3 linked regions of the Oryzias latipes genome follow. The protein of the gene in region 2 purifies or fractionates together with the protein of the main gene of each other region. This does not show direct contact. Links are inferred from orthologs where the notes say so. Each region holds a gene or a part of one and is shown on either strand. Other genes may lie near its edges.

Region 1 (10,234 bases), on a different chromosome or scaffold from region 2:
CCTTTCAGCTTCACAAGAAGTCATCGTTTACTAAATCAGTCAATAAAATACAATTATTAAAATAAAAAAAATAAAAGATAAGTGGGCACACTGAGGTTAATTTGGATTTACAATCAATAAGACTTAAACTTAAGGAAAAACAAAAGCCAAAGAGATGTTTGCCTCTATGCTTACAATATTAACTTTTTATTGAACAATTGAATAGCACTCTTTAAGAAAAATTTGTATTTCTGAAGGACATTTTAAACACTTAAATTGATGTTTTGTCATTTGCGCTTACCGTTCTTCTCTGAGGGCTGCGTGTGGAAAACAAATCTGTTCTTTAAACCAACTGGTCCGGCTCAGGGCTGTAGTTCAGAGTTTAGCTCGTGTGCACAGAAGTTATGTAAGTAAGCTGCTCAGTGGGACCCTTCCGTGCTTTGGGGGAGGCCAATGCAAGTAGACATATGGATATAACATTAAAACAAACCCACACGCCATGCGCTAGATTAAAAACAAACAAAAAAGACTTTTTCTTGATTGCTCATCCGACCCAGGTGTGCGCAAAATCCGGGCGCTTAAGCGTTGCGTCATTGCGAACCTGTTTCTTAGTGGTTCGATTAAAAGTCCAAATTAAAACGGATCCTAAGGGTATTAGACCTCAGTGTTTCACAACAAATGACAAAAAACATCACATTATTTTAAATAATAAAAAGGTTTTCCATAGATAAAAGGAAGCTTTGGAACACAAAGATGCAACTTCACGAGAAAAATAATTTGTTAACCTATTAACAATCTGGACCACTACATGTTTTGTTTATTGCTTTTTGTTAAAGGATACATAGCACTGAACATGATGTAAAAAACTAATTGTTCCCTTAAATTACTCACTTGTGGTCACAAATTTAGCATTGTTAATTCCAACTACTAATTTGTGCACAAAAAATACTAAAATGTGGACACAAATTATGAATGTGAAAGAACAATTTTTTTTCAAATATGTCCAGGGCTTTATAAAAAAAACCTTAATATGCTAAATTTACCAAGAATGTTTCCATTTACGTGTTCTCCTGGATGAGCTTCTTGGTTGACGGTCACCTTTTACAGTAAGATAGCTGAAGAATTTAAATAAAAAGTTAGACTACACATGTAATAAACTTTGTTTCATACACCAAAGGGTCATTGGTGAGATTTTGAAATAGAAAAACATTTATTGAACTAAAGAGTAAAAGAGATTTCTATCAATTCCCTTTTCCAAACAAATCAAATCTGAAAATGTAAGGGCGAAAGCATAGGATTTTCCAGGATTTCGTTAATTCACTCATTACAAATAAAGGGTCACCAACACTGCTTAGTGCTTATATATGGTTTGCTCAAATGTTTTGACAGAAAAAGAAAGGAATATCCAAAGTTCATGTCTCATGCTCGACACACTAATCACTATAGAGTGATCACTGCATCCAGAGCTTTTATGAGCATCTTCACTTATTAAAACTACCTGTTAGTTACGGGGAAGACAACCTTAGCAGAAATGCCACAATACAAGAAATTGAACAAAAAAAAAAACAATGGTTAAAGGATAAAAAGAAGAAGTTGGCTGCATAAAACTTTTATTACAAATTGAAACAACATTTACAGACTGTTGACAAAATGTTTTTGGGGAAAAAAGCAGGCAAACAGGAAGAATGAGTGCAGGCACTAAAACTGTTAACAATTAGAGTTGTTATGACATGTATGACACTTAGTGGTCCTTAATATGAGATACTTTGGAAGACTTCAATGATCATACATTGCAAAACCTTTGACAGCTCAAAAAGCTTTGAACCAGTATATACAACCTTAAAGCTCATTGAAAACCACACAAGCGTAAAAAAAAAAAAAATCTATGTAATTCATGTAACTAGAAGGATAAGGCAGGAAACAGGAGCACAGAACGTCCTGAGAAAGGAGCAGAGGTAATGCAAAGAACAGCACAAACTACAACAGTTACTGAGCTTCATCTTCTGGACAGGAATGCCACGTCAGTCGCTCCTCATAGAAGGATATGACTACCTGAGGGCAGCGAGTGTTGGCTTCACGGGCCGGGACCAAATCCGCTTCGTCGGAGTCTTTCCTGTAAAAAATTAAACAGCGTTACACAAATGGAAAAAAAAAACATTCAACATAAAACTACTTTAAAAAAATTAGTCATATGATATTCCACAATAAATAACATCTTTCCACAATGTTTCTTTTGTGAACCAACCAATGAAGTTAAGAGAAAATGTGAACAACGTTCAAACTAGAAGTTTTCATTCTGGGCCAAATTGTACTGCTCACCTAAAACAAGTTTTACATTAACCCCTCCCTATGCTGTGGTTTATCTATCGCTGCTTCAAATTTTTATAAATATCTTTGCATGTTTATTTTGATTGCCCTCTGGATCCTGATTGGTTGATGACCATGTCATCCATCTCCTCCCTCCCATGTCTCCTGTACAAATGCGTTTAGCTTGCCCATTACAAACATCTTCCATTGTGACCAGATTTTTGTCTGCTTTCTAAAATATTGGACTTATTGTCTTATTTGAGAGTTTAAACAAGAGAGAAAAGTGTGAAAATGTTTGTTTGTCTGAGAAAAGTGTATAAAGTGTGTAGTGAGGAGTTTTACAATGATAATCCTATGAACCAGATTTTAAAGTGGGATGTTTATCTTATAATTTTTTTCATTTCATAAACATCTTTTAAAGGTTCTGTCTAGTAGACAGTCAGAGACATTCTATAAAAATGTACCATTTCATCAGAAACATTAACTCCCCGCTACTGTCAGTTGCTCCAATAATTCGCTCTGGCTCCAGGTTTCTGGCAAAGCCACGTGGTTTCTCAGCCTAAAGTGGAAGCACATGAACATTCAGAAAACAGTTTTAAAATGGAAGAATGACTAATTAGAACTGAGCTCAAAGTACTGCAATGACATTGTGACATACCATGTCTTTCTTCTTGGGCTCTGTCTCTGGCTCATCTGTGGAGGCTTTCCTTTTAACAGCAGCAGGCTTCTCCTTAATATTCTTTTGTGATTCCAAAAATGCAGAAATCAGCTCAGGACAGTCCAGGTTCTCCTCCGGCTCCCAGGTGTTGTCAGCACTAAATAGTTAAGAGGGCTGTGATCAATTGCATATAAATCATGACTTTTAAAAAAAATGTAAAGCTAACAGGATGCGGAGAACACTAGCAGCTTCATGCAAAAATGACTTTACTACATGTTCAGAACAATCTGAAACCAATCAGATCCAAATGATCTGGGTTATCAAGTGATCAGGGCAATCTGGTGTTCTTTAAAAAATAACAAGACTGGTCAAGTTATGAGAAAATTGTCTAAAGCATATAATCTGGTGTCTTCTTGCATGTAAATGAACTATTTGTAATTTTGGTTTACGTTATATGGGTAGTTACAGCGTGAGTGGAAAACAAAGAAAAAGGGCAGATGCTTGCCACATTCGAGCCAATTGTCTTGTTCTTTTCCTGAAGTATTCAGCCCATTTTGTATACCCATAAGCCAGAAGGAAAATCGAGGCCAAAAATTTGGCTAATTTTAGCTAAATGAAAGCTCAAGTTAAAGGAGGGGGAGGGGTCAAATTAAGAATCATAGTATAAATGTACAAAAACTTTAAAATTGGATCTAAGGCTCATGCTAATCTATTGTAAATGTCTGATTCCTTAACCACATAAAAATGTGGTAACAGAGTAAACAGGCCAACCCCCCTTCCCCATTCTAAAGAACTAGCTGGAGAGGCTCCAGTTAACTCACTCTGTAAATCCTTTCCACTTCAAGTAGAACTCTACTTTCCCATTGACGAGACGCTGGTCGAGTACTTTTTCCACAACAAATTCTTCTGGCTCTTCCTGCGTGTCCTGTGAGTCCTTCTTACTCTTTGTATTCTGCTTCTTGCCCATTCTGGCCTCTAAAACCAAGAGGAAGGAGAGTCAATTGCCGATGTATCACGCAACTGCCCTTTTCCACTTCACCTGTAGGACCCACATTTAGCAGAAAGGCTTGTACCGTAAATATAAAGGTGTACAGCATGTGTGTGTTTAGTTTTTCCAACTTTTTACGACGGACGCGACTCGGCCACGTTCACTCCGCAAGTTTTCCGTAAATGGTACTAGCGTCCTTTGGGTTAGCCAACATGCTAACGTAGCCAAAACAGTTTGAGGCCATGGTACCATTGTTTATATCTTTTTACTAAAAAGGAACATCAACATGCTACAAAAACGTGTTTTCTTTAGATCTTACCTTAACGCCTCAAATAATTACAACAATACAGCAATATCGACACCCAACAAAAAAACGAAAGATTGTTCGTGCTAGTGTTAAGTTAATAGCAATAGCAAAACGAGACAATCAACAGTCTAAAACTAAAAGTATACTATTCATACAACACTCGGGCTTGATAAACTTAAAAAGCTTGAGCTGTGAAGAGTCAAATACAAATTCTGTTCGGTTCATTGCATTCATTTCTATGATGAAGAAGTTAGCTTAAATTACTCCTTACGTCTTAGTTATTTAAGAAAAAAAGTTCAAAAACAAAGAGATGAGATGCAGCATTTAATACCGGTAAACGTAGCTTACATACCTTGTAAAGCCTAGAAAATGACCTCGGTGACGACTTATTCAACCACGCGGTCACTGCCTGTCTTTATGTACAGATGAAGAAAGGAGGGTGCGCGCCAAACGCAAAAGGCGAGTAGGCTACGGAAGCCCGTAAGGAAACAATTTGCTTTAGAGCACTTGTGACTCTACGGTGTCCTGTTAGTTTATTTTTACGTCATTTATTTTTTCTCAGTTTATATAACGGTTTATCTCACAATCTTTAAAATATGTTTTTTCATTTTAAATGAAAAATGAGAATACACGAGTAAAGCTTTGCAGCATGTTTAAAACATTGACACATTTCTATCGTTTTCACTAATAAAGGAACAGCTTATAGTTGTTTTTGTGTTTTAAATATTCTGTATGTCTTGAGTTTTTTTGATATTGACGCTTACAAATGACTTCTGAGCTAAAATAAACTCGTGTTACTAAAGAATACTACAAAAAATGTTTATTTTATGCAAACCAACTTACCTGCTATAGAATGATCTACAGAATTTGGGTGCATAGAATCCTAATAATAAAGCCCTAAATAAAATAACAAATACACAAAACAATATTGTGTCAGTGCAGTTGTATTGATTGAGTGTGAAAAAAATTAAGTATCAGTGTTTAAAGCTGTGAAAATTATTTACTGTCTCAATGTGATTATCAAATGTAAAGTGATTCATTTTCAGTAATCTTTACTTGATAAATATAAGGTTGTCTGTTAAATTTAGTTACACTAAAGCAATACCTTTGCTATAAGTGTGAAGGCGAAATAAAATGATCTGTGCTTCAGTCTACACTTTTGCAATCCAAATGTTTCTATTTTTTTATTTTTATTTGCAATAGTGAACAATATCTTCTACACCAAGTGAACCGAGTTAGTAAAAAATTCTCTGCTAGAAAAATTGTAATTTTGTCAAAATGTCTTCTTTACCATTTTTGACAATACCAAATAACTACAGCACTGGCCAAATGGTGTGATTTGAGTTGTACTTGGATTAATAATAATAATAAAAACTTAAAGCACTAGCAAAGTACTTAAGTTAGGAGAAAGACATTCACCCCACTTTAAAAAATGCTTAGACTTAAAGGTACACATAAAATGTGAACAATAATCTTATATTTATCAGAAAAAACAACAAGAATGCCACTTTCTTTTTTTATTCAGAGTAAACAAATCCCCCAAAAGCGCCTAAATTCTTCAAGAAAAACCATACTATCAGCAATCAACAAGCAAACAATCAAAAAACAAGAAAGACACACATTTGCGAAACTTAGAGACAGAAAAGTAAACTTTAAGCTAAACCAGGAAAAGAAAAATGTCACTTCATGCACTCCACAATTATTTCACACACTTGGCTGACTTTGTAAAGCTGTGAACCCATAGTTTTCATAGCAATCCCTTTGCATAATGACAAATATTTAAAGGGTTACATCTTGCCTTGCTGATAGATTTTTTAAGTAACTGGACAGCTTATCTGTTTGGGGTCACAGTAATAATGAATATTTTATTATACAAGTACACTTAAGTTCACCAAACCTTTCAAATTAGTCAAAAAGGGATTAGGAAAAAAAAATAAACCTGAGGTAGAATTTCATTTAAAAAAATGGAAAAGGTTTTTGAAATGTAAGTTTAAATAAATCAAGTGGAAAACTTGGGAGTATTTTTTTTATCCTGAAGTAAACAGATATGTAGCAATGTGCTCACACAGGAAATGGCAGAAACAGATAGAAATGTCACAGAAAGCACATGAAACCAAATCAACAACATTTAAACCGAGAGTTTGTGATTGTAATTTTTTCACGAAAATGTCAACTTCAGCAAACTTAAAAAAAAAAAAAAAAAGTCATTAGATCAAAGGCACACTTTTGCATACCCACAAACAACTTATTTAGCAAGAAAATAGGAAAAACCTAAAAAAGATTTGTTATTGTAACCTCTAACAATGCTCATTATCTTACAAAAGTAAATCAATTTTATGATTTGGTCAATCTTACCAGTTTTTTTCTGTCTGTCATAAAGACAAGTGAGGCAAAAACTCAAACGCTTGTTTTGTCAAATGCCAATCGTTAAATAGTAATTATCAATCTAATATAAAGTGTTCTCCAATATCCGATTGTTGAAATTTCAATTGTCTGCTCACTTAGATTAAGTTATAATAAAAAGACACCGTCCTGGACAGTCTCATCGTGTATATATTCACTTTGAGCTCTTTGACAAAACTTTAATAAATACAATCTTTTACTTCTTCCTCTTCTTCGATATGGTTAAAAAAAAAAGGCAAAACGTAAATAGAAACTAACAGAATCAACACTTGTGTGATCTCTAAGCAGTAACCATCACAAAGTCTTAGAACTTAGCAGGGACAAAGAGACCGGTACAGTTGCCACACACTAAGCTGTTCCCATAAGTGCACCATTTGTTTTGCCAAAGTCCAGTGTGAAAGCTACAACTTTCTCAATATTTACAGATATTCTTTTTAGGATTTTATCTTTATGAATGTCTATTTTTGCAGCTTTTGGATCCATATACACTAACAAAAAAGAAGGCATCCCAAAACCAGAGTCAAGCCATTCAGCATAGTAATATGCCCAGAAAAGGTAAATCCTAAGTTTCGGTGTGTAAACGATCATCACTGCTTTTTGTCTTTTTTCCTCTTGTCTGTCTTGTTGCTGGCAGATGTGGAGACAGCAGGTTGTCTGATGTGCTGGACTACAACCCTCCCATTAGCGCCACACTGCAGAGTGTATCTCTCTGGGTTCAAGGGCTGTCCTGAACGATCCCTCAGCCGCGCCAACACATCTCTGGTCAGCTGCCTTATCTGATGCCCCACGGCACCCATCGTCTTGGCTGTAAGCTGTTTATCTCTCAGGAGCCTGTCCCGCTGAGCTTGCAACATCTCCACCTCCTCCTGGAGCCCTGTGATGGCGTCTAGTTTGCGTTTGCGGCAATTTTGAGCTGCTAGTTTGTTCTTCCCACGTCTGCGGATGTCCCTCAGAAGAGTTACCTGCTCCGATGAGAAACCGTAGCTATCCAGAACCTCCATGAACTCTTCTACGGGCATATTGACGATTTGCAGAGCGGAAAATGGAATGCACATGGCGCGAGCTCGCAGCTCATCCCGGCTCAGCTCCTGTTCTTCCAAGTCTGAGCAGACATCATCGCTAAAAGGCTCCTCGATTTTATGGGGCAGCGTTATTGCTGCCTTGTTGAAGAGAGCAGCGGATGCGTAGCTGTGGTCATGCCAGATATTCTCATTGGGATGAGTCGGTGGCCATGTCGTGCTGTAGTCCGTTATTCCCTTTGAGAGGACAGATTCTACCTCACTGCTGTAGCCTGTGGCTCCACACTCATCCTCACAGTATGAACTGGAAGATGATGAAATCTCTGATGAACCTGGGGGAATAACAAAATCATGAATGTGGTTGCGAGTCAGAAAAGGTTTATGTTTTCTAGTCTCAGTGGGCGAGGCTGAAGATAGAAAAGTCACAACAAACCTGGGGATAGTGGACTGCCAGAGCTGCTCTCCAAGGAAAGACCAGAGTCGGAGTCCAAGTCTTCAAGGGCATGGGGCTCTATGCACCCCAGGCTGCCCAACAGCTGGTTATTTATTGTCTCGAGGCCATCCAAGCCAAGCTGATTGATCTGGTCAAACACAGCTTCATCCAGACAGTCATTCAGTGTACCTTGTGGTGTAGCACTTGGTGTCATATTGCACACTGAGGCAAAAGGAAGTGCAGCAAGGCCCAGAGCCATCTCAGGCGAAGTGTCAGAAGATCCCGTGGAGTCCAGCCTCAGGAGGTTTCTTTGCTGTTGAGCACTGCTCCTGGGCTCAGTTCCTTCAGACGATGACTCACCGCATATTCCAGAACTGGTTACCATAGCATCGTGCAAACTGACATTCTGGCTGATGGCGCCTATGATGTCAGTGTTGAGGTCTGGCAGACGACCAGAAACAAGACAATCCAGGTCCTAAACAGGAGACATATGGTGTCTTTTTAGATGGAATTCATCTCATTCTCCTGAAAAGCAGGTTTTGCTTGTGTTACTTTGATTTTTGATTTGATTTGATCAATTTATTTCAAGCATTTTAGTCAAAGCAATAAAGGATTTACACATATTTATCAAACTCATTACAGAAATGTTGAAATGCATAGTTTAAAAGGACAGAAAATAAAATAAAACAAAACAAAAAAGTCACTTAAATCACACTTTGCTTAATTAAATACAGTGATCATTAACTAAAGTCAAGTAGAGCTTGATTTATTGCTTGAAAAGGAGTGGGAAGAAGCAAACTTATATAATCTCACTAAGGTTGGGCGATGTCCCCTAAATTGGCCGTTGACGATGTTTGCTGTCAACCATCGGGATGGACGATGACATCGTCGGGGGGGGGGGGGGTTACATTTTTGGTTCTTATATAACTGCTATTCGTTTTTTTGCTTTTTTCATTTTATTTCCCAACTGATGACTAATCCGCGATGATCCAGTATAAACTGAGGTAAGTGACTTTAACAAAAAAAGTAACAAACAAAATAGAAAAGAAGTAGTCCGCTCCCGCACTTCCGGGGGAGTGCGGACTTACAGCTTTGTGTTTGATGGGAAGGGGGGGGGGGGGGGGTACATGAGCGGTATGTGTGGGAGATTTAAGACTGCGATCCGTCCCGCAGCTCTAGGGGTACAAGCAACCGAACTCAGAACCGGGTCTAAAAGTGTGTGTCTGAGCACAGCTCGGATCGTCAGCACACACAGCGGTTTGAGCTTCAAAGCAGAAATGTCGCTCAGTCCTTAGAAAACATTCAATCAATCACGTGGATTTGTGTTTCCAGTCGTGTCCCGACTAAATAAAGGCTGATGTTATTCTTACATGTTTACGTGCAGCCAGCAAGCAGCACCACCCAAAGCTAATGTTGTTAGCCCGTGTTAGCATACTGCTAATCCTGGCTTCGTTCAGAAAAAGCACTGACCACACGGATTAAAATTCAAATGATGAGCGAACAGGTTTATTAAAAGCAGGTTTAGAAGATAATCTCGTATTTTACCGAGCTGACATGTCAATATATATAGCCGCTCGGCGCTGTTTAACAATGTTTTGTATTGAATTGTTACATACAATAAAGTTTGAAAAAAAAAGCCGCTCGGCGGAGTTTATATCCTTCCGTTTTTCAAACCCTACTGCGCATGTGCGAATGATTTATTCCGACCGAAAGTGTGACCTTAGTGAACGTTTTTATATTCTGAAAACATTTTTCTGGGCCCATGTACACGGTTGGATTCTAATCTGACCATTGATCCCATCAAGATATTTTGTACATGTAACAGCGGCTTATGGTGTCGACGCGCAACGTGGCGGGGGCGTGGCATCACGATGGTGGTCTCTCCATCGGGATGTCAGTCACCCATCACGATGGACGATGATATCGTCCATCGGCACAACCCTAAATCTCACCCCTACTGAATTCATTCATTTTATAGTTTTACAGTTTTTGTAATCCGGTTCTGATCCGAATAGATTCTTTTCAAGTAACAAAATGATTGATTTTCTTCGGAAAACATTCATTTATGATTTCAGTAAACAGTATCGGTCAACATTATGTAATAATAATTGATTATTATTAGAACACATCATCACAATAA
Region 2 (10,203 bases):
ACTACAAGTCTCTGTTTGAGAGGGTCAAGCAGAAAATGCAGGATTTGATGAAAGATAAACAGGCTTTAATAGCAGCTGCTGGAAGAGAAACTAAGCTTAGTGCTGAAGAAAAAGACATTGATGAGATTTCACTTCAAGTTGGATGTTTGGTGCAGGAGCTGGATAAAAGAAACCAGGAGCTGGACGAGCTCCGTTTACAGGTGGGTAACTCAGTTTCTAATGTTCACGTGTCCTGATAAAACATTTCTAACTTGAACACTAACATAGACTGACTCTGAAAGGCTGCAGTTTTAGTATCAATTGATTGTAAAACTAGAACTAGAGCCCATGACACTAGATCAGAGGAAGGTGGTTTTTCCCTGCGACTCTTTCCTGGTTGAGCAGAAGCGAGCGAGCGGGCTGGCGGGCCCGTCTGGCTATTACAAGTTACATCTGCGCCTCAAGCCCTGGACTCTGAGACTTTATTGGCTTCACAAGTCCAGAACTGAATAAATGTGTGCAATTACAAAAATCCAGTTTGGACACACCAGCATAAACGCCCCTTTAAAGAAAGCCTCCTAAGATCTGACATTTTGTGACCCTTTAAAAAACAACTTCAATATTGCTCTTCTGGGAATCACTCCAGTGTCTTTATCTCGCTAACTTGGTTTAAATTTTATTCATTAAATGAGGGAATCAAATGAAATTATTGATTTATGCAGCTAATTTTGGTTTTTGGTTTCATTGACCTCCCCTCAACCTCTGACTCTTCTCTACCGGTGTTCACCATCAGCTCGACACCCTAGAAGAGGACAGATTAAGCCTGGCAGCTGAGTGTGAAGAGCTGAGATGCAAAATACAGCAACAAGCTGACGGCACAAGAAACCTTCATTTTCCTGCTTCACATGCAGAGAAACCAGGAGGATCAGCAGAACCTGATGAGGCCAGGAGGAGGTTTGTCTGTTGATAAATCATTCTTCTATATTGAGAGTTAAATGACTAACAATCACCTCTAAAACTATTTTTTTCCCCGTCCAATTTAGTTTGATTGAACTGCGTCAAAACGTCGGGCGGCTTCTTGTCTCCTCCATGCCGGCTCTTGAATTGGATCAAGTGAATTATGAATGTAACGTCATCGATGAAATCCTGGAGCAATACCTGTCCAGCTTAGATTCCAACTGATGTTCCCCCCCCACCCAAAATAAAGACATATTTTACAGATGAAAAAGGTGGAACGCTCATCATGAAGGTCCTGCATAAACCTGGACTGATGAAAATGTCCCTTTCAATCACAAAAACGATCTTTTGTGTCCGGGAAGAACTTTCTTAAAAACGCTTGTGCAGATAAAACAACAGCTTTGTGGAAATTAAGTTGTTAATTTAAAAATGTGCGTTCTGAGCTGTTAATTCCTTTGTTTGAAATCACAGTAAATTATGTTTTATGGCTGAAAAGCTTAATTTGCTTTTATTCATCTCAGCATCTGAGTGCAGCTATTCTATTCTAGTGTTTAAGACATTGAGTTTTTCTGTCTTCGGTTGAAATTGTTCGTTGGTAACAGAAATAGTCAGTTTTGATCTAAATAATCCAACTTTTTGAACAGTTTCAGTAGCATTAAGCTCTGGTTCTCCAGGTTCACCTGATTAGTGGAAGACACAAAGGATGTGAAAGCATTGCACTTTGTCACAAAGATGTGAGACAGGACTTTTTTCTAAACATGTTTTCACTGTTCCTCTTCTTTTTTATGTTCCTTTTGTTTTATTAATTATATTTTGTATACAATTTTCAATGTCATATTAAATTAAGTTGCTCTAAACCAAGTTGACCATATTGAAGAATAATAACCCCATACTGCACATAGCTATTTATTTCTTTTTCAGTGTCAACACTGCTTTTTTCACTCATTTTTAAACTCTGTTTAATGTTTTCCTTTTTTTTTATACTCAAGCAAAAAAAAGCGCTGATCAAAGAACTGCATATGAAAATATAAATAATTAAAACAGTATTTGCAAAATTAATTTTGTTGTGTTTAAAATACACACAAGAACTGTTACACACATTCATACATATATATATATATATACACACTTCCTTATTATCCAGTGAGCGGCAGTTTTGTGGGTGGAAATGCCTTGTTGACGTCAGAGGAGAACGGCCAGACTGGTTCCAGCTGGCATAAAGGCAACAGTAACTCAAAAAAACCACTGGTTACAACTGAGGTCTGCAGAAGAGCATCTCTGAACACAACACGGCCAGCCTCGAGTCAGAAGGGCCACAGCAGCTGAATACCGCACCGGGTGTCACTTCTGACCGGACAATAGAAGATCCTCTCTCCAGATGACCTCCCAGTCTCCTTGATCATTTTACGTGTAGATGTTCAGTCATCTGGGAATTCCTCCTGATCTTCGAGCTCGTCCTTAAAAATCATAAGCACTTTCCCTTTTACAACTTCCACCACTTATCTGTCTTCTTCATCTTCGTCACCTCTAGAGTCATCCTCACACCACCATCTAAGCCGTCTACGCTATACTCTCCACTGCTCCATATAAAAAGGACACTCCCTGGTTTCAGGAGGAGTCATGTGGTAATTTAGGTGCATTTCTATCTCTAGAGTGTGAAATTGGGTTTAATATCAAACACTCTTTACTAAAAAAGTTAGAAACAAAAAAATTGAAAAGGTTAAATTATTTAAACTTACTAATAAATGTGAGTGCTTCTCCCTCCATTGCTAAATGTCACAGTTTTCCCTGCTGCACAGGAGCAGTCATTCTCCCCAAATTTTACCGCTCAGCTCTTTGACACCTGGACTATTCCTAAAACATTCGTGCAGTTCTCTGTGTGTCCATTATAGTCCTTGTGTTGCTCTCCTTTTTCTGCAAAAATCTGTCCACTGCTCTCATTTCAGTTCTCTTAGCAAAGTCCATCATTCTGCATTCCTAAATGCCAAACATTTGTTTTTCTGTTTGAACTTTGGCACATTACAAAACATGGCTAAAATAGACATGATTTAAACAGAATTTCGGAGTAATTACAATCAGAGGAAACAAGAAATGAATAAAATAATAAAAACAACTACTAATTAATTTGATAAAAAAGACAAATGAGAAGAAAAGGGAAAACAAATCATACGTTTCTTTCAAAATAAAGGTAAAATGTTCCTTTTTTTGGCCCCTTAAGCAGTTTCAGTGATTTTAAATATATTCTGAATTCAATATATTTTGAATATACTAAAATTGATGGGAAGTTTTGCATATATTTATATTTACATATATTAAATTTGGCAAGACATAGAATCATGTTTTTGCAGATTTCTCCTATTTTGATTTTAATAATGAAACAAAAGATGATACTGTCTAATGTTTTAATATAAAATGTTTTCATATATATTTATGAAATTACATCAAACAAGACAAAACAAACAGGATATGGAAAGAAAAAGACTTTCAATCATAAACATTAAAATGCTCAGTATATCATATAACAGAATATTTCCGAGGCGGTTTACTTTGCTTTAATGACTTCTTTTTATATTTATTTTAATGTACAACGTATATTACAATTTAAAATTTGAACATCCGGGTCCACCCATTTGAGTACTTCCGTCTTTTGCCCCGCCCATCCCTTACAATCACTTCCTTGACCGGAAGTTTTGAATGAATTGTACGCGGGAAAGTCTCTCAGGCAGCTTCTTTCATACACCCGTGCAGGTAAAAGACTAACTCGGTCAAATCTTTGTTATTGTCCAAAAATAAAATGATACAACTTTTTAGCATGTGTTTCGTTTACCTTAAAAGCTAACAGCAGGTCATAAAATAATATTTTTTTGACGTGACGTCTGTCTACTTTAGACACCCAAGGCAGGAGGAACCGCTAAAGTTTAAGCTAACCGTTGTAGCTTTTGGCTAAAGTGACAAAAACAAACACATATATTCCTTTCCTGTCCCCTTAATTTGTCCTATTTGCAGTTGTAACTATTTCATGTGTTATTAATAAGATTTTTTTAAGAAAAAAAAACTTTTTTGTCCTCAAAGGTCTGTTTGCCTCTGAAAGTGCGAGAAAAAAAATGAAAGTGGTAACGTGTGAAATAGCCTGGCACAACAAAGAGCCTGTCTACAGTTTGGACTTTCAGCACAGCACGGATGGACGCATACACCGCCTGGCCACAGCTGGAGTGGACACCACCGTCAGGGTGAGTGGAGGAGAAGCCCCAGGATGGTTTGGATGTAACATTAAGATGCAAGAAAATATGGATATTAATGTACAAGTCTGTTTAGGGGACACCTTTCTGTTACAAACCTCTGAAATGTTTCTGATGCAAACAATTCCACGGCTTTAAACCCCACAGACCTCACAGAGAACAGAGTAAACGCTCCTTTAGTGCCGTGTATTTGATCAGACCTTGACATAACCTGATGTTTCTGCAGCTCTGGCGGGCGGACATGGGTCCGGACGGGAAGGCCGTGGTGGACTTCCTGTCAAACCTGGCTAGACACACAAAAGCTGTCAATGTGGTTCGTTTCAGCCCCAATGGAGATCTCCTCGCTTCTGGAGGAGATGGTATGAATATTATGTAGTTTATTATTTCAAACATGTTATAGTTTAACAGTAGATAAATGGATACACTCGCTGATAACTATAGGCAGTCATCCAAAAGAGTCTCTGTTTGACAGAACTTAAAAAAAGATAAACATGTTTGAAAGGGAGATGAGCAGAAGCTGTAGGTTATTTAAACCTACTCTCTTATACTAATTCAACTTTGATAACAAAAATATGATAATGAACTGTTTGTTTTGTTTGTTATGCAGATGCTGCAATTCTTTTATGGAAGCTGAACGACACGAAGGAGCCAGAGCAAGCTCCCGTGTTCCAAGAGGATGAAGATGCTCTGCTCAACAAGGAGAGCTGGTCTGTGGTCAAAACACTGAGGTACACATGCAGAGAAGTTTGACTCTTTATTTATATTTGGTTGAATCTGTTTGTTTTTAGCACCAAATGTTTAAAGTCCCCCTCGGATCATATTTTGATCTATTTTAAAAGCAATCCCAGTGGTCTTTTAATTATGATGATGCTGTTTTTAGCCAAACACCCGGCATTTTCTAGGACATAGTTTCTGCAGAGTGGCAGGACTGTTGGTGTGGAACAACCCACCTCTTCTTTCCATCACCCATAATTGAGAGCTCACAGTTTACACGCTTTGCCGCTAACTTGCAGCCCCACACACCCCCAGCCTAACATGAGCGGTGGAACAAAATTGGCGAGTAATATTTGCGCTACCCAGCTGTACAGTTTTGAGTCAGATTCCAGCTCAAACGACTTATTTTGTGGGGGGCAAAAAGTGATCTAAACCGAAAAAATAAGAATAAAGTACCAAAAACTGATTGAATATTTATTTATTTTGTAAATGACCATGATATAGACGGGATAATGGCCTTCGAAGTGTGCATTATCAACAGTAACGCACCGCACGAAAGCAACTGTTTGACGTGAAGTTCAGGCTTCCACGGCGTGCGTTCGTTTTTGCTTCTAAGGCACTTTTCGTCTTCCATTATAACTGTTACACAATCAATGCAATGACCGTCATTAATGCTTAAGGGAAAAAAAGGTCTCAGTTAGACTAAACCAAAAATACACATGTTTGAAAAGTAGATGGGCAGACGCCAATGCTGACTGAATATTACCCCTTTATCTATTTTTCATAGTACTTTTAAAGCACATGAACACAGTCAAATACTAAATAGATAGAATGTATTCACAAAAATCTTTTCAGATTTTTGGTTTCTCTGGCTATATTAAGTCTTGCACAAAATTTGACAGAAGTTAAGCGTTTGCACCAACAACCCGTGTCCTACTGTGGCCTCTTTGTGCCACAAACTGACGTCATGTCTTCTTCAAAAAATGAAGTAGAGACTGTAAATGCTATCCCAACCCCACATTTCTTGTTCCCATAAATGAATTTTCTTTTGTTCCCAGGGGTCACATAGAGGATGTGTACGACGTCTGCTGGACGAGGAATGGGAACTTCATGGTGTCGGGGTCTGTCGACAACACAGCTATCATGTGGGACGTCAGTAAAGGTTTGTTTCTGCGCGTTTCACACATGATTACATTTCTGTTCAATTACAGTACCTGCTTTTCTTTTCTTTAGGACAGAAGTTGTGTATCCTAAATGATCACAAGAGCTATGTGCAGGGTGTGACCTGGGATCCTCTGGGACAGTATGTCGCCACTCTCAGCTGCGACAGGTGAACGTCTGGATTCAACCTCAGGAAAATATCCGCTGTCAGTAGGATGTGATCAGGCTGAAGATGTTTTTTGTTTTCTTTCAGGGTCTTGCGTGTCTACAGCACCCACACTAAGAAAAAGGCCGTCACTGTCAGTAAAATGAGCTCAGGACAGCCGGCAGAGGGGGGCGAGGTCAGTCGCATTTTAGCCTCTGATGTTCTTAATTTGGTATTTTGAGTCCAAAACTAAATTTAAGTAAGAAACAAAATGAAATGAAACAACACGACTGTGTTCTCTGTCCCTTTTGTGCCTGTGAAGTCACTGGGTTGTCATTATTCAGGCAAAGCAGTACAGAATGTTCCAAGACGACAGCATGAGGTCCTTCTTTCGCCGTCTTTCCTTCACGCCAGACGGCTCGTTTCTTATTACACCAGGTAAACCCACTCGGAGGACGAAAATTCTGTTTTGGTGTTTTTTAACATGTTCTTGTGGCATTTTTCTGATATTGGAGGGCAAATGCTAAGAAAATGAAGCAGAAAATAAAACTTCTGACTATTTCTTAATCAATTTTTTGTGAATCTGGAGCAGGCTCAAAAATGCAGCTGGGAAAAATGGTGTTTGTCATGTATAAAATGCGTTGGACAGGTCCATCTTTGCTCGCCATTTTTTTGCACCAATAATGTTAGGTTGGGAGTGTGATGGGCTGTACGCTAGAGGGGGAGAGTGTAAACAAAGGGATGATGGGAAATGAGCGCAGCCTTACTCCCCGTCACAACTCAGAGGTGAATTTGTAATGAACTCCAGCCGCTCTGCAGAAACTATGTCCTAGAAAATGACAGGTTTTCTGATTTGGGCTAACAAGAGGATAATCAAAAGACCACAGGGAACGCTTTTACAGTAGATCAAAATGTTGGAGAGGGTCTTTAAACTTGAAAAGTTTCATTTTTTTTACTCCATAAAAGTATTGTTTCTGGATTTTTTTATTTTTTGCAGCTGGATGTGTGGAAGTTGGAGAAAACATCATTAACACCACCTACATCTTTTCCAGAAAAAGTCTGAAAAGGTGAAGTCTTGTGTCTTTTTATTTTGTTTTTTTTTTGTCTTTCAATCTTAACCTTGACATAGAATTGATATATTCTGACTCATGGATATATATATATTCCCTGCTTGTCCTGTTTAGGCCCGTTGCCCACTTGCCGTGTCCATCTAAAGCTACGCTGGCCGTGCGCTGCTGCCCCGTTTACTTTGAGCTCAGAACCAAAAAGGGAGAAGGCAAGGACAGATGGAAGAAACATTGATAACAGAGCAAATATTTGCTTTTATTTTTGGTTAAAATATTCCTCACTAAATGCCTCCTTTCTTCTGCAGATGGATCTATCCAGGATCTTCCTAATTTATTCAAGCTTCCCTACCGGATGGTGTTTGCCGTGGCCTCGGAGGACTCCATCTTCCTGTACGACACGCAGCAGAGCCTTCCGTTCGGCCTGGTGTCAAACATCCACTACCACACACTCAGTGACCTGTCATGGTAAACAACTTCTTTATGTCCATTTTTAATCATTCTAACCGTTTTCAGAGCCAGAAATCCGAGCGGGATGATGCTAACCCCCCCCCCCCCTCAGTGTCCTGGTGTGTCTGTCTCCATCATGCAACTTTTTTCACTTCCAGTTTCAGATCCTGCTGTCATTTCTTTGGGGAGACTCGGCTTTTAAACAAAAATTCTGGTTTTCTGTTATAAATCCAATAAATTATTCAGTTTTCTTCAAAAAAACAAACAAATCTATAAATGCAGAAGAGTGCAGCTTCTTGTTCTGAAACACTTGTTGTCATGTCGTCATCCTAGAGTCGCCCACGAACACAAACAATAAACTTTTGCAAAGATGGATGTGCATACTCTTTAAAGTTTAAGCTGATCATCGCTAGCTCTGCAGAGAAAATGGGTGTGTGTGTTAGTCTGGGGGCGGGGCTGGCTGCGCAGACTCTTCCTGGAAGGGGCGGTTCCCCCATGTCAATAGGTATGAGCATCCCAGTCAGTCTCAGGGATTGGGAGGGTCTGGTTTTTAGAGGAATACTCAGAAATGTGTGAACAGATCAAAATACCACTTTGGGGTTGTTTTTCGTGAGGAATGAACATTATAATACACTTCAAAACTCAAAACGTTGATTCTGCATGATGTTCCTTCAATCCATGGTGTGACATTGTGTGAAAAACTGATCCGTAAACTGATCTGTTAAAATTTAGCATCACTAAAACAATCGTCCTGACACAAAACTTCACAACTTCTTTTTTGTTTTTACCATTTTAGTTATTTTTATGCAGAAAACATTCAATTAATGTGAGAAACTGATATTTTTTCATGGCAGTCTGCTTTTATAAATCCTATAAAGATGCTCAATTATTTTTTATTGTCTGTGTTTTTATCATGTTTTACTGAGAAGCACTTTGTGATTTTTATCTTAATAGGTGCTATACAAATAGAGTTTATTAAGTTTATTATTATTTACTTTTTGTTTGGTCCTGTCTGACCCCTCCAGGTCTGCTGATGGTTCCTTCCTGGCCGTGTCCTCCACAGACGGTTACTGCTCCTTCCTGTCATTCTCTCCTGGGGAGCTGGGTACTCCCCTCAAAGAGCCCCCCACCTTAGAGGACTTTGTCCCAAACAGTAGTGAGAAGAAAGGGAAGAAACCCGCAGCACCCAAGAACTCCCCGCCTTCATCCCAGCCCGCAAATTCCTCCCCTAAAGTGAGCAAAGACGCCCCCTCCTCGACTCCCTCGGAGGAGAAGAAGGCCACGCCGAAGGGCGTGTTGAAGCCGCAGCCGCGCAGGATCACCCTCAACACGCTGGAGGGGTGGGGCAAACGCAGCCCCCCCAAAGCTCCCGCTGCACCGGGACAGCAGACGCCCAAATCTCCCTCTACTCCCCAAAACTCCCCCGCAAACAAGCCACAGATAACGCCCCTCAACCCCTCCACCCCAAAGGTGCCCAACAGTGCTGCACCCACCACCCCGAAAGTTACCCCGAAGGGACCGACACCCAGGTGAAGGCGCCGCTTCTTTTTCCAAAACCTACACGGTTCTTTGCTTTTTTACATTTTCACCAACAGTGCATTCATCTGCAAATTCACACGTCTGAAACCAACGGCAGAAAACATTCCCTGCCCTGGTTTTTGTTTTTTAGCACATTTTATTCTGTAAAATTGAGATATAACAAAATTAAGCTTTACAATGAAAAAAACAAAACAATTTTGGAATAAAACACAAAAGAGAGAAACTGCAGAAGATCCATAAAGTCCAGAACCTCAGGATCTTCTGACCTCATGTGGAGGTTTAGATGTTCTGCAAAAGGAGAGCAGAGGACGAACAAACACCTCAGCCTGGACTTTAGTTTTTAAACTCATTTTGACTATCAAAGAATGACAAAATGTCCCGTAAATAAGAGCTTTTCCCGCTTTATTTTAAGAAATTATTACTTTTTTAATATCTTATAGTAGTTCACAGTTTACAACATTTTTCTTTCAGCCGAAAGAAAAATAAAATAAATGAAATTAAAAGACGTCTTGAAGTATAAGAAAAATGCTATCTAATAGTAATTTAAAATTAACATTTCATAGAAATTTAATAACTGTTTAAAATGAGAAAAAAACAAAATATAATTTTAAAAGTTTTGGAGTTTAAAACTATAAAAAATACAGAATGTTTAAACATAAAACTATTTCCAATAAGGGTTCTCATTTTTCTCTTTTAATTTGCGACAGCAGTGTGTAAAATGCACAGGTACTAACTAAAGACACAGATACAAATAAGATGCTCTTGATGACTTATTTTGTGTGTTAAAATTGTTGTTGAAAGTGTGGCTAAATATTTGTATTCATATAGAAATCCTTAAATGTGTTTTTTTTCCTGCCTCCAGTGAGTTAAGCAGCTAATCTGATGCTTTTCATAGAAATAGTTAAGAGAAGAATAAGTTATATGCTAAACTGTGCATCTAAAAGCCATTTAATGT
Region 3 (9,942 bases), on a different chromosome or scaffold from region 2:
ACACAAAATGTGCCCATAAAAAGTTTCACAGAAAAATTGTACACATTTTGCACACAATGATTCTACTGGAACCTGAAGAAAAAAAAAAACACTTTTGCGTTGGAATTGGTTAATACTGCCCTCTGCTGACAAACGGCAGTAAATAGGTTTTTGATGTGTGATTCTAAAATTGCATTAAATCTATAAAGTATATATATATATTTTTGTCAGTTTGCAGGGTAATGTTATGAAAAATGTAATTTATACTGTAAAACGAAGTGAACACATGAAGACCTTGAAACACTCAAAATGTTTATTAAAGGATGCTACTATACATGTATACTTGGAACATTTCTCTCACACAATAAACTACTGACTTTAAAAAATGTATATTGTCAAAAGGTAAATAAAACCCATATTTACATTAAAAAATGTGCTGGCAAGGAAATGTATGGGTAGTATCAAAAGGAAGATGACAGCATTTCTTATCAGTTAAAAACAAGCAGTCTGTGAATCTGCAGACATTTGGTCCAATGCTTCTCTGCAGGCTGCAAAACCAGTTTCAATCTTCAACAACAAACCATGTATTTATCAGGGTTAGTCACCTTAAAATTCAAACTAATGAACAGGTGATAAGGAGCTATTCAAACAATATTTTTTGTAATTCATTAAAACTACTGAAGCTTTTTAGCAGGGGGAGCATGGAAAAAGAAATGCAAATAAATAAATCTAGTCTTTATTGTTGACCACAGTATTAATTTCAGTTATCAAAGTGGCAGCTAAGTTTCTCCTTTGAATGCTAGCTGAATTTTATTTTGAAAGGGCGCAAGATCACACAATTCATGCAAATTAAAAGTAAAAAAAAAAAAAATCATTCAAACAATGATTGGGATATGATTAAAAGTACAGAATGGAGAAAAAAATGTCTTTATTGTATTTTTTCTTCTTCTGGCAACACTGTCAAAAAAAACAGAAAGAAAAAAACCGCAAAACAATCATTTGACGAAACAGCACAAATTAAAACCAATATACATCACTACACAGACGTGCACCTACATGACTAAACAGGTGCACCAGTCTTCTCAACTGCAGGCCAATCCAGCTGCCATGTCATTAATTCAGCTTTCACAATTATCATAGTTTTTACATTTAAATTTCATGAAGGTGATCATGTCCCTTTTGAAGCATGTTATGGTGATGGATGTCAAAACATGAAACAGATGAATGCTTCAGGAAGATGAATGATCAATGGAATCCTGAACATCAGATCAACATCTACTCATTGGGACAAATATTTAGGATTTTTTTCTTACCTTAATCTGAAACAAAAATATTAAACTACAACAAAGAGAATTGATGGCAGAGTAGACGTCATGATCAAATGATCGCACATGTTTGAGCGTTTGGTGAGAGTGGCCCTGTTAAAAATTACCGGTTACAAATATTAAAAAAAAAAAAAAAAATAGAAACAGTGGGGAAAACGATTATTAAACACGTTTAAAAATGAATCAGGTGTGATATCTGCTGCCTAAAGGGGTAAAAAAAGAAAGATAAGTGAATAGCTTCAACATTTTCCTGTCAAAGAAAAGATGTGCACTGTTTACAACACAATGATGGGGATCGGGAATTCCCCCCTAAACCGTCAAATCTGGTACTTGGGTCTGGATTTGCAACTTTAACAGATGGCCACCAGTAATAGTTTCTCCAGATTTCTTCCTAGTAACATTTTTATGCAAGCACTTTAAAAAACAGGGAAAAGATAAAGACAAAAATGTTAAGATATTACAAAAAAAAAAAAAATCAATACAAAAACAGTAGAAACATTGCCCAGTAGCATATCACCCAGGTCCACTAACAAACAGCTTTCTATTTGATGGATCCTTTACAGAGTCTGGGCCCTTGTGCTCAATGAGGCATGAGTGGAGAAAACAACAAAAGGGATGCACTGTTTTTGTTTCACTGTTGGACAAAGTGAGGGATGGAAGTTTGGGAGAAGGAAAACAAAAAGTCCAACAGAATGTTTTCCCTGCAGTGGAGGTTTCCTCCAGAGGTGTTGCACTCAAGCACTGACAGCATCCTTCTCCTTCTTGTCACCGTCTTCGTGCCAGGTGAGGCGCTCCTCGTAGAAGGCTATGACGATTTGTGGACACTTATGATTGGCCTCCTTGGCAAGAACAAGATCCGCCTCGTCTGAATCTTTCCTAAAAGAGGGTAAAGCTTGAAATATTTTTGCACCACACTTCACTAACTTAAGTCCAAATAAGGCATTGTGGGATTTCATAAACAAGCTGTAGGCGGTTGCACTCTATCCTAGTCTCTGTGAAATGGCATTTCACTGTTATATTTCTAAGAGGTTCATTTACACTGCAATTTAACCATGTATTGAGACAGCATCAAGTGTTCTATCATAAAACCAAATAAAATGGGTAAGTTGGCAAGACAAACTTTTCATCTGGTGCAACAAAGGTATAGTCAGACTTCATCACAGGTGTTTTTATTTGTTCTTTCGCTCTAGGATTAAAACTGATCACAGAGAATTTTCTATAAATCATAGCAAATGAGAACAATTCTAAATTCATGATTATTTTTATGGATTTGTAAATTTATTCAAAGTAAAAGTATCAAGTCTGCAACTCAAATATGAGTCCAGAACCAGGCATGAGTGATGGTGCACTGCGTATATCCATCTAGGTAATAAGAGATAACATTAATTTTATGGTTTGGCTTCCTGTTCATCTATGGACAGACAGCCCGGTTACTGAAGTTTCTAATGGGTGATTTGCCCAGTTAACCGACACAGTCAAAAGCCTTTTTTTTTTAAGAGTCATTCCCTTCCATGTTGCAGTCAACAGTAAAACAGTCTGTGGTGATTGCACCTAGCGGAGCAGCAATTTCACACCAGATCATCATAATCATCATCATCCCAACAACAAAACTTACCATTTCATGAGGAACATTAAGTCTCCGCATGAATCAGTGGCTCCAATGATTTTCTCTGGCTCAAGTCCTCTTTCAAAGCCACGGGCTACTAGAATTTCCTCCTGTAAGAAACAAAGAAAAAAAGTTCAAACCTGAGGAAATGTTTAAAACTGTTTGTTTTTGTCTTTTGATTCTGTGCTTTAACCTCATATTTACACTTTACTGCTCTACTGGACAAATGCCGTCAGATATTTTATTGAAATTCCTTCTGTGTATAAACAGATTAATACTTTGCTTGTTTTTGCGGTAATCATTTTCAATATGTCTTATTGGTTTATGTATTATAAACAATTTTTTAATCCATGTCTAATTGATTTTAGTTTCTTTTAGCCCCCCAAATATTACTTTTATTGGATTGTATGTAGAATTGTGCTGAAAAGGCTGATTATTTGTACAAGGTGCAAAATGACAGAAGTAAAGCACTGAACACATACAGACAGATTGAGCATGTTGACATGCACATCAACTAGTTGATCGCCTGACTTATTGACCTTTTGTAATTTTCAGGACGCCACAAAAACAGGATGCGAGATCAAGACATGTGGATTTCTCAATGGTGAAGTGTACTGGCACATATCAACAATTGTATCTTCTAAAAATAAATAATTATATGTCTAAAACGTGTGTTTCAAACTTAAAGGCCACGGGCCGCATGCAGCCCGGCATGCAATTATATTCGGTTAGCATGATCGTTTTATATTATTGGTAATTACGGCATGGCGATATGAAGCGCTGGTAAAATTCAACTACAGATCCCACAATGCAGCGCTTCAGCTGCCTTGCCGAACACTTCCCACGTCAATGAAGTCTAGTTTATGATGCTGCAAGTGATAGTGAAGCTGGCCCTCTGTCGGTGCAAAAGTGAAAAGTTAATCCTGGAAATGGGCTTTTCAAACTGATGGGAGGCAGAATATGTTTACTGACATTGTTGATAAATTTATGCGTCTCATTTGTGGAGCTAATGTGGCTGTATTCAAGGAATTTAATCTTTAGACAGCACTATGAGGCAAAACATCAAATCCGTACTTTGCTGATAAACTGAGCGCATCAAGTTCGACCGGCCCTTTGGTGATTATGAATAACAAAAATGAATTTTTGAGTTGCTTCACAAACCATTTGCCGTCTATGTTGAAACTGCCCCTGTACAGATTCAGATGGAGCAGAGTGAGCTGCAGAGTGAAAGCACACTGAAGGCAAAGTACGACACTGCAGGACCTGCACAGGTTATGAACGCCATTCCTGCAGAAAAGCAGTTTCACCCTTGTGCGTGTTTGGTAGCACCTTTCTGTGTGAGAAGCTCTTCTCAGTGATGAAGACTAATAAAACAGCACGCAGATGATGTCTCACAGATGAGCAAAATGTAAGTTTTTTATAAAGTCATTCAATAGTAAAGAAAACTGAATGTTTTTTTTTCTTTTAACATTTACTGTTAAAAGAAATATATTTGTCATATTTATGTTGAAAAGAAGTTTTAAAAGTTTATAAAGTACAGTGTTATTGTCAGCGACCTAAAGTGGGTTTTGGATTTTTGCCCATCCTGTGCCATCAAGTTTGACATCCCTGGTCTAAAAGAAACTAGGGAAACGAAAGATAAAGAATTGACATGTACTGTTGTAAATATCTCTCCCTTGCTTATTAACATTTCGTTATTTAAATGTAGATCTGGAAAAAATAAAATAGATAAATTCTAAGAACCTTGCATAAAGTACAGTAACATCCTAACAAACAAACTAAACTTTATTATAAAGGGGAAAAACAACAAAAACTCATTTTTCCTCATTTATCTTGACAGCCTAGAAAACAGTGAATCCAAACATTGCATATACATAAATCTCACCTCTTTCTTCTTTTTAGGTTTACTTCCACCCTCTTCGTCTTCCTCCTCCTCATCATCTGAACCTTTTTTCTTTAAGCTCCCGGATTCTTTGGAGCGACCCGATGATCCTGTGTTGACTTTGCTGGAACCAGTGCTAGGTGTGGCACTCCCACTGCCTGGTTTTTTGTAGGTTTTCATGAATTCTGCAATAAGCTCAGGGCAATCCAAGTTCTTCTCCGGCTCCCAGGTGTTGTGCTTCCTGTAAAGGAAAACCATCCAAGTAACTCAAGACAGTTGCATAATCACAATAGTAACAAACAAAGAGAAAACACACCCAAAATAAAAACATTAAAACCGCGGTGCACACAGCTACATAACCCTTAACATTACATTGCACGTCTTTATGCGGTTTAAGTAATATTGTATTATTGCAATTACAATAGAATTGCTAACAGATTGGCGTTTTTTGTTTTTTACTTACTCTGAGTATCCTTTCCACTTTAGGAAGAATTCAACTCTGCCTTTCACGACTCTCCTGTCCAGCACCTTTTCCACGACATATTCTTCTTCGTCAGACGATGAGGATTTCTCTTCGCGAGACTTCTTGCCCATTGCAAAGTTTGGTATTTATAGCACGCTGTCACACACACAGGCCGTTAGCACTTCCTTGATCCAAAAGAAGAGAAGCCAAAGTTTAAATAACAACCGATCATCTTGGCACAGTATTTCCAGATGCGTTAATACGCACAGATCAGACGTAAATAGATAATTAAAAAAAGGATATACTTTGAATCAGAAAAGAAGATATGATAATATACGCGTTAGCATTTGATCGACGCTAACACAGAAATTGTCGTGCATAACACACTCGAGCATAACAGCAACTAAATTATTATACGAATAAAAATCACATCTGCAAGTATTTCACATAACACTTGTTCTTTTAACGAAGATAGCCCTAAGATTACAACAGGTAAGAAAACAAAACAAGCATGGGGCACGACGAACTGAGCTCTGCTAACGGTACTAGAAGCTAGACAAGATAGCATGTAAGCGAACCCCAAGCTAACTTGCCACTTTTACAGTTCAAATCACGAATCGTTATTTAAAGTAAAAACACAATATCGATAAATTAACAGTGCGATTACTTTAGGATGATCGGGCCGTCAGTTTTAGTGCGTTTTTTGCAGCGTTATCTTGCGTCTTTTGTGCAGCAGCTATCAGTCTACCAGTCTACCGGAGCTACGTTAGCATGTAGCTTAAATCACATAAAGGTGCTGAGCGGAAAAAGCGCGCGTTAAAAGCACACAATGAATGAACCCGCCTCCCGGTCAGCTGATAACCAAGAAACCAGGCAGGTTAGCAGCAAGGGTCTCAATCCATGGTATTTACTTACTGTAATAGTAATGTGTAAAATTATATGTTTTGTTATTAGACGTTTAATGTACGCTGACAAAGAAACATAATGCCTTACATATAAACAAAGCTCCAAACTATTAATTAAATAGCTAAAAATGTAATAACAAAAGTGTGTGTTGTGTCCTTTAAAATTTGTGTAATTCTTTCTTTATACTTTTTATTTTGTTTAGATAAAAAAAGTAGCTGTACGACCATTCAAAACTAATCTAGTTTAATGTTATGATGGTGATCCAAATTGATGCGGTTTATTGGCCCCAATCTATCATTTCATTTTTATTCAGATAAAATGTCACTATGTCTGCGAAAGCATCCTGTTTTCTCCCATTCCTCCTCCGTTTTTACACACTGCATTATCCTGCTCGGGGATTGGATTAATTGAATGATTGATAGGACGTAAGCCAATCAAAACTCACCTTTCTCTGAGGAAATACTACAGCGGGAACAACTGACCAATGACTGTGTAAAAAGGGGGCGTTCCTTTCCCCATTTTATCCTAGCGTTTGACTGCTGCCTGATCTTGTCTGGCGCAGATCGCTGCGTGGTTGTTGTGTCACTAGGAGTTTCCGACAAAATACAGCAAGATGTCGAAAGATGTAAGTCTTTGTATTCTGAACGATTCAAATTATTTAGCTGGTCCAGTTTCGTCAAATGGCTTCAATGGTTTAGATTTGGGCACGTTGTCTCGGTCGAAACAGCCCGTCTTCGCTGCAGAAGCTTTCTTTTCCTTATGCCGCCATTTTGTAACAACTGGGCCTCGTGGCCTATTGTTGGTTACAGGTAAACGAAATGAATCGAATGATATTAATATGAGTCACTGGTTATCGTTATTTCGATTAACCGCAATATTAACAACCTTAGGCGAACATATTTTTGCAAAAAGTCGAACAATCTGCAATCGTTGATCGCTAATGGCGGCGATGTCTGCACCACCCAACCCTCCTGCTGTTGTTGTTTTTGACGCTGGATATGTTCTGGAAATAGAGACGAAAGTCAATGAGTGGACTTTCGTTTTCAAAAATGTGTTTTTAACTCATAGTGTTTGAACTTGCGGCAACCTCTTGTTGACGTCTTCATCTATTGTTTAGGTCCCACGTGAGCCAGAGCAGCTTCGCAAGCTCTTCATTGGAGGCCTGAGCTTTGAGACAACAGACGAGAGCCTCAGAGCTCACTTTGAGCAATGGGGTACCCTGACAGACTGTGTTGTGAGTCATTTTCACAAGATGTGATTGCTATCATCCAAATTGAATTGGCTTTAAAGTATTTCATTTTTAGGTGATGAGGGATCCAAACAGCAAGAGATCCCGGGGTTTTGGCTTTGTGACCTACTCCTCTGTCCAAGAAGTTGATGCAGCCATGTCCGCCCGTCCACACAAGGTTGACGGACGGGTGGTGGAACCCAAACGAGCAGTTTCTAGAGAGGTATATTATATGACTAGACGTAAATCTGATTTCTTGTTCAAAGTATAACAAATGTTTTGGTGTGCAGGATTCAAATCGTCCAGGCGCTCATATTACAGTGAAAAAGATCTTTGTTGGAGGGATCAAAGAAGACACAGAAGAGTCCCACCTGAGGGATTACTTCCAACAGTTTGGCAAAATTGAAGTCATTGATATCATGACTGATCGGAACACTGGAAAGAAGAGGGGCTTTGCCTTTGTCACCTTCGACGATCACGATTCTGTTGACAGGATTGTCAGTGAGTACTAGTGGTATCTGATCTAGAATGGGAAAGCCCTGTAAGATTTTCATAAAAATTGAAACATGCCTTTTTATTCATAGTCCAGAAATACCACACAATCAATTCCCACAACTGTGAGGTGAGGAAAGCCCTGACCAAACAGGAAATGCAGACTGCTGGAATGGGAATGAGAGGTGGCCGCAGCAGTGGGAGTGGAAGACCCTATGACTACGACAGAGGCTTTAACCAAGGTAATGTGGGTTGTAGTATTTTTTTTTTAAATCATTGGGTCTGTAAGACAGCCATAACAAGTTTTGGGTTTTCTTCTTATTTTAAGGTGGACGGGGCAGATATGGAGATGGTCCTTACAACGGCAACGGAGGCGATGGCGGTAAGTGCAGCATACTAGATAAATTGTTTTTTTATTTTTAATTTACGAACATCTGAAGACTTAAGGTTGTTTGATGCAGGTTATGGAGGTGGGCCCGGTGGTCCTGGGGGCTATAACAGTGGCAACCGTGGGTACAACCAGGGCTACAACCAAGGTGGTGGAGGATATGGTGGAAATGGTTATGATAGCAATGGTTATGGTGAGCAACAACAACCCCGTCCCTCCACCCCCCCCTTTTTTAGGATGAGGTTGTCACTAATCATTTTTATCTACCATTTTCAAGGAAACTGTGGCAGTGGCAATAACTACAACAACATGGGTCACTATGACCCGCAGGCTTCCAACTTTGGTCCAATGAAGAACAACTTTGGTGGTGGTGGTGGAGGAGGAGGCAGAAACTTCGGTGGGTATTTGGATTTGGTGAAAACACACCAACACAGAAGTATTTTAACCCTCACCTTGTGTGTTGATTGTTTTTCTGTCTTCCAGGTGGATATGGCGGTGGATCAAACAATGGCGGTGGCTATGGCCGTCCTGGACGATTTTAAGTTTCTAAGGGGTAAGCTTCTGTAGACATAAACTTGCTGTTACATGTCGTAAAACCAGAGTTTATCATTTTAGGGAATGATTAAGTGTAGCTAACTTTAAACGAATTCACTCTGGATGTCAGGACTTATGAAGACAGTGCACAGTTAACAATGTTGTTCCATATTGTTCAACAGGACTGAGTACTTAGGAGAGGAGAGCAAGGAGAGGAGAGCAAGCGAAGTGACAGGGCAGCTGCAGGTTTACCTCCTAAATCTGCTCAGCCAAACAGTTGTGGCAGGTTACAGCTGCTACAAGAAGAGATGTACAGTAGATAAATCATGGAGGGCCTTCATTTAAAATTTGTCTTCTGTTTTTCTTTCATCATATGTGTTTTTTTTGGAAAGCAAGCATTCCAATGAGGGTTTTATGTTTATCTTTAAGTCTGGTTTTTATTTGTAACTGCATCAACTCAATCTGAAATAAACCACCTTTCAGTTTTTTATAAAGTCTCGTTAGCCTCTTTAGTGGTCTGGGTGAAGGGAGGGTTGACACTTAAACGGGGAAAAGGGCCACTTTTTGTCAAGCTCTGGAAAAGGCAATTTCCCAGTGGTGCGCAAATGTTATCTTCAAAAAGGCCGTGACTTGGCTCAGACAACTTCGAATTCTGCAAAGATCATCTCGAGGAGGCTAGCTTACATGCAAAGTCTATGAGGCTAGCCATGGAAGCAAGCTAAGGGAGAGAAGTAGCAAAGCCATCGCCAGGATCATTGAAGCAGGGGAGAGTGAGAGCAGAAGCCTGAGGCTAGCAGGCAGCAGCTACCAAAAGGCTTAAATGCTGTCTGTAGGTAAGACCAGACTTTCAACTACTGATGGTGTTTTCTCTTTTTGCCTTTTAAGCTGGTAGTGAGTTTTGTAGCCCAGTAATGACATGGCTAAAAAAAATACCACTTGATCAAAAATTGATCTCTTGCAGTGCAAAGAGGTCCACTGTAATTTGCATGCAGTCAATACAGGTTACCTTTGAGCAATGCCTTATACTTTTATTTTGTTTTGCATTTCAGGTGATTTCCAGCGGTATCCAGCACTACAAAAACATCATTTCTGTGAGAATGGCCCAGGTACAAGAAAGTGAATCTGCTGGTTGGTTTGTG

Evidence for each region.
Region 1: the proteins of chaf1b (region 2) and chromobox protein homolog 3 purify together in Homo sapiens (affinity purification with mass spectrometry; 3 studies listed by BioGRID and IntAct, with this or other methods). This does not show direct contact. The link is inferred for Oryzias latipes from reciprocal best matches to the Homo sapiens genes CHAF1B and CBX3.
Region 3: the proteins of chaf1b (region 2) and cbx5 purify together in Homo sapiens (affinity purification with mass spectrometry; 8 studies listed by BioGRID and IntAct, with this or other methods). This does not show direct contact. The link is inferred for Oryzias latipes from reciprocal best matches to the Homo sapiens genes CHAF1B and CBX5.

The regions. Positions count from the first base shown.
Region 1 is NC_019869.2:11,211,168-11,221,401, reverse strand, and holds chromobox protein homolog 3, read right to left. Parts: upstream 4,724-10,234; 5' UTR 4,592-4,723; intron 3,920-4,591; 5' UTR 3,912-3,919; coding exon 3,766-3,911; intron 3,102-3,765; coding exon 2,945-3,101; intron 2,846-2,944; coding exon 2,751-2,845; intron 2,093-2,750; coding exon 1,966-2,092; 3' UTR 1,573-1,965; downstream 1-1,572. Other genes in the region: nuclear factor erythroid 2-related factor 1-like, read right to left, coding at 7,230-7,993, 8,095-8,569.
Region 2 is NC_019879.2:24,743,260-24,753,462, forward strand, and holds the start of chaf1b (chromatin assembly factor 1 subunit B), read left to right. Parts: upstream 1-3,577; 5' UTR 3,578-3,684; intron 3,685-4,008; 5' UTR 4,009-4,040; coding exon 4,041-4,166; intron 4,167-4,401; coding exon 4,402-4,534; intron 4,535-4,782; coding exon 4,783-4,903; intron 4,904-5,947; coding exon 5,948-6,051; intron 6,052-6,122; coding exon 6,123-6,219; intron 6,220-6,303; coding exon 6,304-6,391; intron 6,392-6,539; coding exon 6,540-6,633; intron 6,634-7,192; coding exon 7,193-7,262; intron 7,263-7,379; coding exon 7,380-7,471; intron 7,472-7,567; coding exon 7,568-7,727; intron 7,728-8,734; coding exon 8,735-9,238; intron 9,239-10,203. Other genes in the region: MORC family CW-type zinc finger protein 3-like, read left to right, coding at 1-200, 773-933, 1,023-1,161. UniProt on the Homo sapiens protein: Acts as a component of the histone chaperone complex chromatin assembly factor 1 (CAF-1), which assembles histone octamers onto DNA during replication and repair.
Region 3 is NC_019865.2:12,831,761-12,841,702, forward strand, and holds cbx5 (chromobox protein homolog 5), read right to left. Parts: upstream 6,485-9,942; 5' UTR 5,923-6,484; intron 5,441-5,922; 5' UTR 5,387-5,440; coding exon 5,256-5,386; intron 5,034-5,255; coding exon 4,796-5,033; intron 3,021-4,795; coding exon 2,920-3,020; intron 2,181-2,919; coding exon 2,039-2,180; 3' UTR 271-2,038; downstream 1-270. Other genes in the region: heterogeneous nuclear ribonucleoprotein A1, read left to right, coding at 6,775-6,786, 7,279-7,395, 7,466-7,612, 7,680-7,890, 7,974-8,123, 8,210-8,263, 8,343-8,462, 8,547-8,666 and 1 more. UniProt on the Homo sapiens protein: Component of heterochromatin that recognizes and binds histone H3 tails methylated at 'Lys-9' (H3K9me), leading to epigenetic repression. In contrast, it is excluded from chromatin when 'Tyr-41' of histone H3 is phosphorylated (H3Y41ph).